Caenorhabditis elegans: one gene and its partner. The protein of the gene in region 1 interacts with the protein of each later gene in a pairwise test. Each region holds a gene or a part of one and is shown in the gene's direction. Other genes may lie near its edges.

What was found.
Region 2: the proteins of Y38E10A.3 (region 1) and elt-7 interact in a two-hybrid assay, tested with the Caenorhabditis elegans proteins (one large-scale study listed by BioGRID).

What each region holds. Positions count from the first base shown.
Region 1 is NC_003280.10:12,573,473-12,577,015, reverse strand, and holds Y38E10A.3 (Intraflagellar transport protein 81 homolog), read left to right. Parts: upstream 1-2,247; coding exon 2,248-2,979; downstream 2,980-3,543. Other genes in the region: clec-8 (C-type LECtin), read left to right, coding at 128-269, 319-450, 523-1,307; Y38E10A.2 (Cellulase), read left to right, coding at 3,487-3,543.
Region 2 is NC_003283.11:4,769,049-4,773,852, forward strand, and holds elt-7 (Transcription factor elt-7), read left to right. Parts: upstream 1-1,621; 5' UTR 1,622-1,665; coding exon 1,666-1,787; intron 1,788-2,665; coding exon 2,666-2,951; intron 2,952-3,004; coding exon 3,005-3,090; intron 3,091-3,735; coding exon 3,736-3,838; 3' UTR 3,839-4,038; downstream 4,039-4,804. Other genes in the region: C18G1.9 (FERM domain-containing protein), read right to left, coding at 467-563, 610-647. UniProt on the Caenorhabditis elegans protein: Transcriptional activator that binds to the consensus sequence 5'-[AT]GATA[AG]-3'.

The sequences.
Region 1 (3,543 bases):
AATTTCCGGTTGCCGAAAATTTTTGGGTTCTGCGACTTTGGCAATTCTCGGTTTTTTTTGCCGCACAGCCCTGATGGGCAGACCTGCCTACCATAGTTGACCGCCTAAGATATTTTAAATTTTACAGGACAATCGCGCAATCACAATCTTCGTTGGTGGGGCTTCCAACTCTATTTGGATAGGGCTCTTTTGCACAAAGAGCTCCGCTAAGGAATGCTTCTGGGATGATGATAGCGGGTCAGCCGACCAGTTTCAAAACTTTAAGAGCGGTAAGAATTAAAAATTAAAAATATTTTATACAAAATAAGGATCTTTCAGGGTTCCCATTGGTGGAGAAAGGAAGATGTGTATACAGTAGCCAAGTGGCTTTCGATAGGGGACAGTGGTCCAGTGGAGATTGTGAAAAAGAGTCAAGGGCGTTTGTATGTGAGCTTCCGGTAACGAATGAAGGTAAAGGGAATTCTTAAAATTTTGAATTTCTAATTTCGCGCCAAATCATCATAAAAATTTATAAACTTTCAGACCAATGCCAAAAGAACTACAACGGCTATTGCTACTTCGATTTCGCGCCACTTCCATTTGTATCCGCACAGAAGATCTGCAAAGAGAACTGTGGAATCATTGCTTCAATCCTTTCACCCATGGAGAACAGATACATCAATGCAAACTTCTACACTTATTCTGCACTCTTGATAGGTGCCACTTGGAGCTATAACAGCTCTTACACCTGGTTTGACGGATCGTCATGGAGTTATCACAATATAGACCATACAGCTCGACGAGGTGGGGTTTGTCTTGCCATGTCTACCGGAACTGGTAGTATGGTCCCCACCGGTTCCTGGTACCCAGTTGATTGTAAAGCAAGTAATAGCTTCCTGTGCAAGCGGCCTGCAGGAACATCCTGTCCTTGGGTGGAACCGGAGACCCCGCCAACTCCTGTTATTCCATCAATGTGCAATAGCTCTATGATCATGGCACCTGGGACCATCTCCTCACCGGCATACCCTGGCTACTACGACAATAACATGTACTGTAGCTATCTACTATCTACAACAGGAGCCTATAACATCCTTCTGAAGTTCACCGATTTCTCTACGAATCTGAATTTGGATTATGTGACGGTGTACGATGGGGAGACGACTAGCAGTCCGATGCTTGGATCGTTCAGCGGATTCAACGAAACTCCGATCAATCTAGTGTCGACTGGGAACACGATGCTGGTGACATTCCGATCGGGAAATTCTGAGGATTCAAATATTCGCTATGGGTTTAGTGCCACTTTTTCGAAATTTGTTCAAATGCTCTAAATAAAATATTAAAGTACAGCCTATTATTTTCACCATATGTTTGTTTGTCGGGAAGGCAGGCAATAGGGGATAAGATATCTTACAAATCTACGCTATTCAACCATCAATGTGTTTAGAAGGGTCATAAAATTATTATGACCATAAAAATTATAATATGTACAATCAATATTCCGGTGTACGGAAAAGACATGAAGTTGGCCTATAAACCAAGTTGGTCCATGTACCAAGTAGGCCTATGTATCAAGTTGGTCTATGTACCAAGTTGGCCTATGTACCAAGTTGGTCTATGTACCAAGTTGGCCTATGTACCAAGTTGTCTCTCTCATCTCCAGACCCTTCCCTATCGACCTTCCAGCCAGTCTTCTCCGCCCAATTACCCACGTTATTCCGGCCTAAATAGACAGTTTCATTTGAGTAACAGTTGTCGTACAGGATTCGCAATTTTTCTCAATGTTTTAATATTTTCTCGACCAATCTTGCCATTTTCATTTTTGGCATTTTTGGTAATGTTACAAAATTAACTAATGCGCCATGTTGATCCAACATTTTAAATTAAAAATTTATGTCAAAATATAGAAAATTACTTGGTAAAATCTGAAAAAAAAACATTCATTTAATTTGGCACGTTCAAAAAAGTGCTCAAAACTGGCCTGAAAGTTGGCGACTGTCAAGAAAGCCAAGTTTGATAATTCGATAAATTTTCAATTTTCCGGGCTCATTTTTTAAAAACTTTTTTTTCAAATATTTCAACTAAAATCAATGTTATTTTCCATATAAATCAAATAATTTTCTATACTTTGACATCAAAATTTAATTTTAAAAAAAATGAAACAACATGGTGCAATTGCTAATTTTTTTAAACTGCCGTTTACAAAGTTGCTTTTTTTTTGCTATTTTTCTTAACAAAAGCAATTTTCCAGTCTCCTTCACAACAAAAAAAATGTCCGAAGAGCTCGAGTATCTCAAAGTACTATTGTATGCTTCTCAAGTCGAGGCTCAGAAGCTTCGCAAGCAAAAAGAAGAGAAGGATGCTTTGCTAAAGACGTTCCAAGTGAAGCTGGAAGTCGAAGCGCTCGGTAACTTGCCAGCCCAGCGCAATCTTTCGGAAGACATTTCTAAGCGTGAAATTCAGAGTTTGAAGAAGCAAGTTACAGTTTTAAAAGAAGAAATTGGACTGGAAGGGAGCAAACTGGCAATCGCGAATGCAGTTCAAGAGCAGTTAAAAACCGATTTGGCAGATGAGAAGGAAAAATGTCGTTTTACAAGAGAAGTCACGAAGCTCTATCAAATGAACATCCAGCTCGACCAACCATCTCGGGATCAAGTCGCGGATTATCTTCAATTCGAAATTCGAACTGTCAAGGAAGTTTTGAGACAAAAGGAAGAAGAACTGGAAAAACTGATGGCTGAAAACAAATATAATTATTTTGAAAATTGTGCTGAAAAGTGCCGAATTCAAGAAGAAACGAGTGCTGCAAGAAGAGAAGCTGATCTACTTCGCGATGAAATGAAGACGCTTGTGAAGAATATGAACGCCAAGAGCGAAGAATTGCTCGGACAATTGCGAGACTCTACTGAAAAATGTGAAGAGATGGAGATTGATTGTAACATCCAACTGTTGGAGCTTCAGAAAAGACATGAATTATTGAATTACTACGCATCGCTCGGATAATTAATTTTATGGAAATAATTGTTATTTGCCGTTTAATCAATAAGCCATTAATAAAATTATTCTAATGATCTGATCTAATTGATAAATAAAGGCACGTCACTCATTGAGCGGAGTATGAAAACTACGGGAAAACTAAATTGAATTGAATTTTATTGAACTTTATTTCAATTTTATACAATTGAATTATGAAGTTAAATAAAATGGTGAAACGAGAACTACATCGTTAATATAAAAAAGCCAGAGTCTTAAGTCTTTATTCCGAATAAAATCTGCGCAAAAAGCAAGCTTCAGAGCTTTTGGTATCCATGCGACTAGTCGGACTTTTTGCGAAAATTCTGTCATCTTGTTTTGAACGGCTTGCCAGAAATATTCAAAAAAATATCCTGCTCTTTCAAAGCTATGTTCCTTTTACTTTTCAGTTTTGATATACTTGGTCCCGTGGTCGAGGTTCGTAATTTGTGGAAGGTATCGATTTATTTTTGATTTTAGACTACAACCACCACTCCCATGGCTTGGAACTTTAAGACTGAATTTCCAGGAATATCGTCACAAATAAGCTGGTAC
Region 2 (4,804 bases), on another chromosome or scaffold:
ACATTTTAGCGCTATGAATTTGGTGAAAGTCTAGAAATAGACGATTACGAAAACTTGTGGTGTACGGTAGCTGAAAGGTTTCAATCGTGCCGAGACCAGGTACAGTATTTCCGCGCACATATTTCTCCATTTCCCCGTACTTTTGGTTTTTTTTTTCAAAAACCCGGAGTTTTAGCGCTATTAATTGCGAAAAGTTGAGCGAAATTGCAAAAGTACAGTGTATTTGTTTCCACTTCTACGACTTCAAAAGAGGGCGCATTCATTCAAAATGGTCTCGTCACGCGCCATTCATTGATTTTTGAAGCGCGTGGCGAGACCAATGGGTGGAGCGTGGCGGGACCATTTTGAATAAATGCGCCCTCCTTTAAAGTCGTAGAAGTGGAAAAAATAAACTGTAGAGGTAATTTTGAAACACATGCGGGTACTGTAGGCACAAAGTTCCGATTATAAAAATCGGGATTCATACCTCAAACACTGCCGATCGGAAATTCGAATTAGCCATCTTATACCAATTTTCTGCAGATTCCTCATTTTGTGTGGTGTAAGTAATTTCGTGTCGAGATCTGTAGCGGTTAACTGAGAACTCGTAATTCTAATACCTTATATTACCTCCGAGTTGTACTCAATCCTGGTCTCGAGACGCACATTGGGGGTTAGTCGGTTAGTTGAGAAGCCGCGAATGCTAGTAATTTGAATAAAAATAATGAATTTAAAATCGCCTCTCACAGTTCTGAATTCTTATCTTTTTCCAAATCTACACTTTTTTTAATAGAAAAATACAGTTTACGTAAAACTACATTCCATGTTGATTTTTCAAGCATTCATTTTAAATAAATTATATGTATTTTAAAAAAAAACACGTTAGAAATAGGCTACCGATAATACAAGAATTAAATTATAAACACTATGCACTCTCACAATCAGTTTATGCCCCTTTTGCACATTACTTCAACTTAAAAAAAAATAATTGCACACTTCCTCCAGGACACAGCATTTCAACTTGGAACAAGATTTCCCATTCGCGACAAATTTGTCCAATTTGCCATTTGTTAAGCTCGGAATACTCTAAAATTTGCCTTGAGTTTAGAAGAAAGAAATGAATGAAATAACACAAAATTTTGTGAGTATCTTTAAAAAAAATTTTTTTTCCAGAATGCTACACTTTTAAAGCTTTTTCGTCAATTTTGTGATCCAAAAAATAGTTTTAAAATATCGAGATTTTCCGGGTTCGCCGACCAGGGCAAATTTGTCAAATTTGCCGGTTTTGCCGGACTCTGCAAATTTTGAGATTTGCCGCACCCCCCCCCCCTCTTTCCCATGTTTCCTTTTTTTGCTCGTCCACTGGCACACAAGGCATAGGTACATGCATCTCTGACTTACCACTAATTTACGACTATCCATAAAAGTCCCAAGTCATATTTACTTTCGTTCTCCTTCCCTTTAAGAACTTTGCCGTCCAGGTTCATAGTCATTATATCATAAACTACTAATGATGGGTGGTGAGCCACACACAGTTCCCCATCACCACCGCCGCCGGTCTATCTTATCACTCTGACCTTTTTTGTCTCTTTCTCTAGGATCTCTCCGGGCTCTTTGTTACTTTCCTGCCTGTAACAAAGACAGACATTTGTGGTTAGAGTTGTCTGCTCTAGTCGACTGGAAAAAATGCTCCCTGAAACTACTACTCTTCAACCACTTCCATCTGTTACGACTATCATGAATGAGCCGCCAGCGAGAAGTCCAATGGAGGACTATTATTTATTTAATCAATTTCAATATAATCAAAAGTAAGTTTTGAAATCAAAACTGTTTTATTGCAGTGCATAAAAATGTTGCATAATGTAATTGTATTATTTTTACGGCAAACTTAAATTGAAATATTCACTATCAACAGAATTATATGGTTTTTACATTACTACCAAAATATTACTTTCCTGTAGTAATGTATACAAAAACAACAACTTTGTTCCAACATGTGACCAAAACTATGTTTTATTGAACTCATGTAGCATAACTGATAAAAATCAATATCGAATGCTCCAAAGTATACTGCTTATAATCAGTAGTTTTCAGTGTTTTTGAGAATAGGAATCTTTGAGAATTATTATATTTTTTAAGGTTTATTATTATAATTTGAGAGTCTGAAAAACGAGTTTCATGCTGGGAATGGCTTAAAGTGTATGACTTAACATGTTTCCTGTTTGGCAATTGTAGGTAATTTCCAACTTTCTCTCAAAGTTTAACAATTTCCTACAAAGCAGTTAAAAAATTCTGTCTACCTTTCGTAACTTTCTTTCAAATGTTAACACTTTTTGCAAAATTTTTGCAACTTTCTGTCAATCTTTGGACATTTTCTGACAACTTTTTGCAACTTTCTGCCAACTTTTGATAGCTTTCTTTTAAAGTTTAACAACTTTTTGCCAACTTTTGGCATCGTCCTGCCAAGCTCTGGCAACTTTTTGACAACATTTGGCAACTTTTTTCCAACTTTTGGCAACTTCTTGCAAAACTTTTGGCAACTTTCTGACAAATTTTAACAACTTTCCGCTTAACTTTTCCTGCCAAATTTTACCAACTGCTTACAAATCTTTTGCCTAGTCTCCTGCACCACAAATGTACTACAAACTCAGCTCAGCTTGAGAGAATAAAAACTCCAACTTTTCAGTCCATATGTCTACCCACCGCAGCCCGTGTACTACAATACTTGGCAAGATGCTTCAACTCATCACTTTGATCCATTCCAGAGTTATCAAATTCCATCTCCATACGAACAACCAATTCAGTCGTCAATGTGTACTACTCCATTACAACCACTTGAAGATTCCAGAATTATTTTTGATGAAAGCTTGACGAAAAATGAAAATGAGCAAAAATCCTTTGTGGAGCAAGATAGCAGTTACGAATCATCTGGAAACCGATTTGGTTCACAGAAGGGAAAGAAAATTGCAAAAGTAGGATTCGAGGGTTTAGAATGAAATAAATATTTCTATATGAAATTTTTCAGGTAATTCGTGATGCGTGCTGCTCACACTGCTCAACAACTACAACCACACTTTGGCGTAAAAATGATGAAGGGAATCTTGAGTGCAAGTAAGTTTATATTTTATTATATTCTTTTATATTATTTCTACCAGGTGTGCGCGGCAACCGATTGTTTTTCTGGCAAGTCGGCAAATCGGCAAACCGGCAATTTGTCGATTTTCCGAATTTGCCGAAAATTTTCGGCAATTTGTGGTTTTGCACATTTTTTTTGGAAATTTCCGAATTTCAATTTTAATCGGCAAAATTGTACGCATCCTATGAATGTTCCTACATCTATTCTGAAAAGTAAGCAAGTTCTGTGAAAATATCTAAAGAAAACGGAGAAAACATTTCAAAAATGCACAGTTTTAAATGTTTCCGTCTTATAAAAAATCCCTCTAAAAACAAAAATCATCAATTCAATTTCCGAAAAATCGGCAAATTGTCGGAAATGAAAATTTCCGGCAAAATGGCAAACCGGCAATTTATCGATTTGCCAAATTTGTTGACAAAAAAATTTGCCGAATGGCACTTGCCGCCTACCCCTGAATTTTTTCGAACATTTAGAACATTTACATTCCAAATCAAAAATTCTCAGTTGAACTTGCTTATAATTTTCGATTATTTTTTAGAATTTCGAATTTAAAATTTTATTAATTTTAATGACTAGTTAAATATACATCATTAGTTCCACTATTAAAGTAATATTTTCAGTGCTTGCAACTTGTATTACCGTCACAACAAAGTGAAACGCCCGTTATCCCTCTGCAAGCAGAAGCCAACTACTCGAAAGCGGCGTCAAGCAAAAAAAGAATAGACAAGTTTGGACTGTATCGCCATTTTTCCAGCATATTACGTATCCCTCTACATCAATTGTACCGTGTTCTATGCGCTGATTTGTATTCGTTTTTTAAAAAAGATTATATATCTATGTCATCTTTTCCACTGATATTACCATATTCAAACATTTGTAATGTCAACTTCATTATTATTTTTCTTAAATAAAACGTTAGAGATACTACTTATACAAATATTGTTACAAATAATAATGTTGAAAGATTCTATGATAAGATGAGAAATTGGTGATATGTGGGATATTAATACAAAAGTGGGCTTTAATGTAGAAATTGAAACGATGAGACCAGGGACAGATGAAACCATCAATTTCTATATTCTGCCAAGCAGCCTCTAATAAATGCCGAGTGTGCAGACTCCGCCCCTCTTTCGCGTTTTTTTGGCTCGCGAAAGAAGGTAACACTACGTTTGGCTTTACAGCGTCACGAAGTTGTCCCAAAGTTGTCACAAAGTTGTCACAAAGTTGTCACGAAGTTGTCACGAAGTTGTCACGAAGTTGTCACGAAGTTGTCACGAAGTTGCCACGAAGTTGTCACGAAGTTGTCACGAAGTTGTCACGAAGTTGGCACGATGTTGTCACGAAGTTGTCACGAAGTTGTCACGAAGTTGTCTCGAAGTTGTCACGAAGTTGTCACGAAGTTGCCACGAAGTTGTCACGAAGTTGTCACGTAATTGTCACGAAGTTGTCACGTAATTGTCACGAAGTTGTCGAACACCAAAGTGCAACTGCGGCGAGCTATGGAAAAGCAAACTCAGTTACAAAGACTTCCTGGAGAACCTAATATCTAAAAATGTCCAAGTTGAGGTCAGAGAGTACAACAATAGAAGGCTAAAAAAGAGTCCCATAGGGAGGAGATGATGATTGAAGTCTCACTGAATGACGAAATTGTGGAAAAGGACTAGTGACTTGTGACCGCAGCAGATTCAC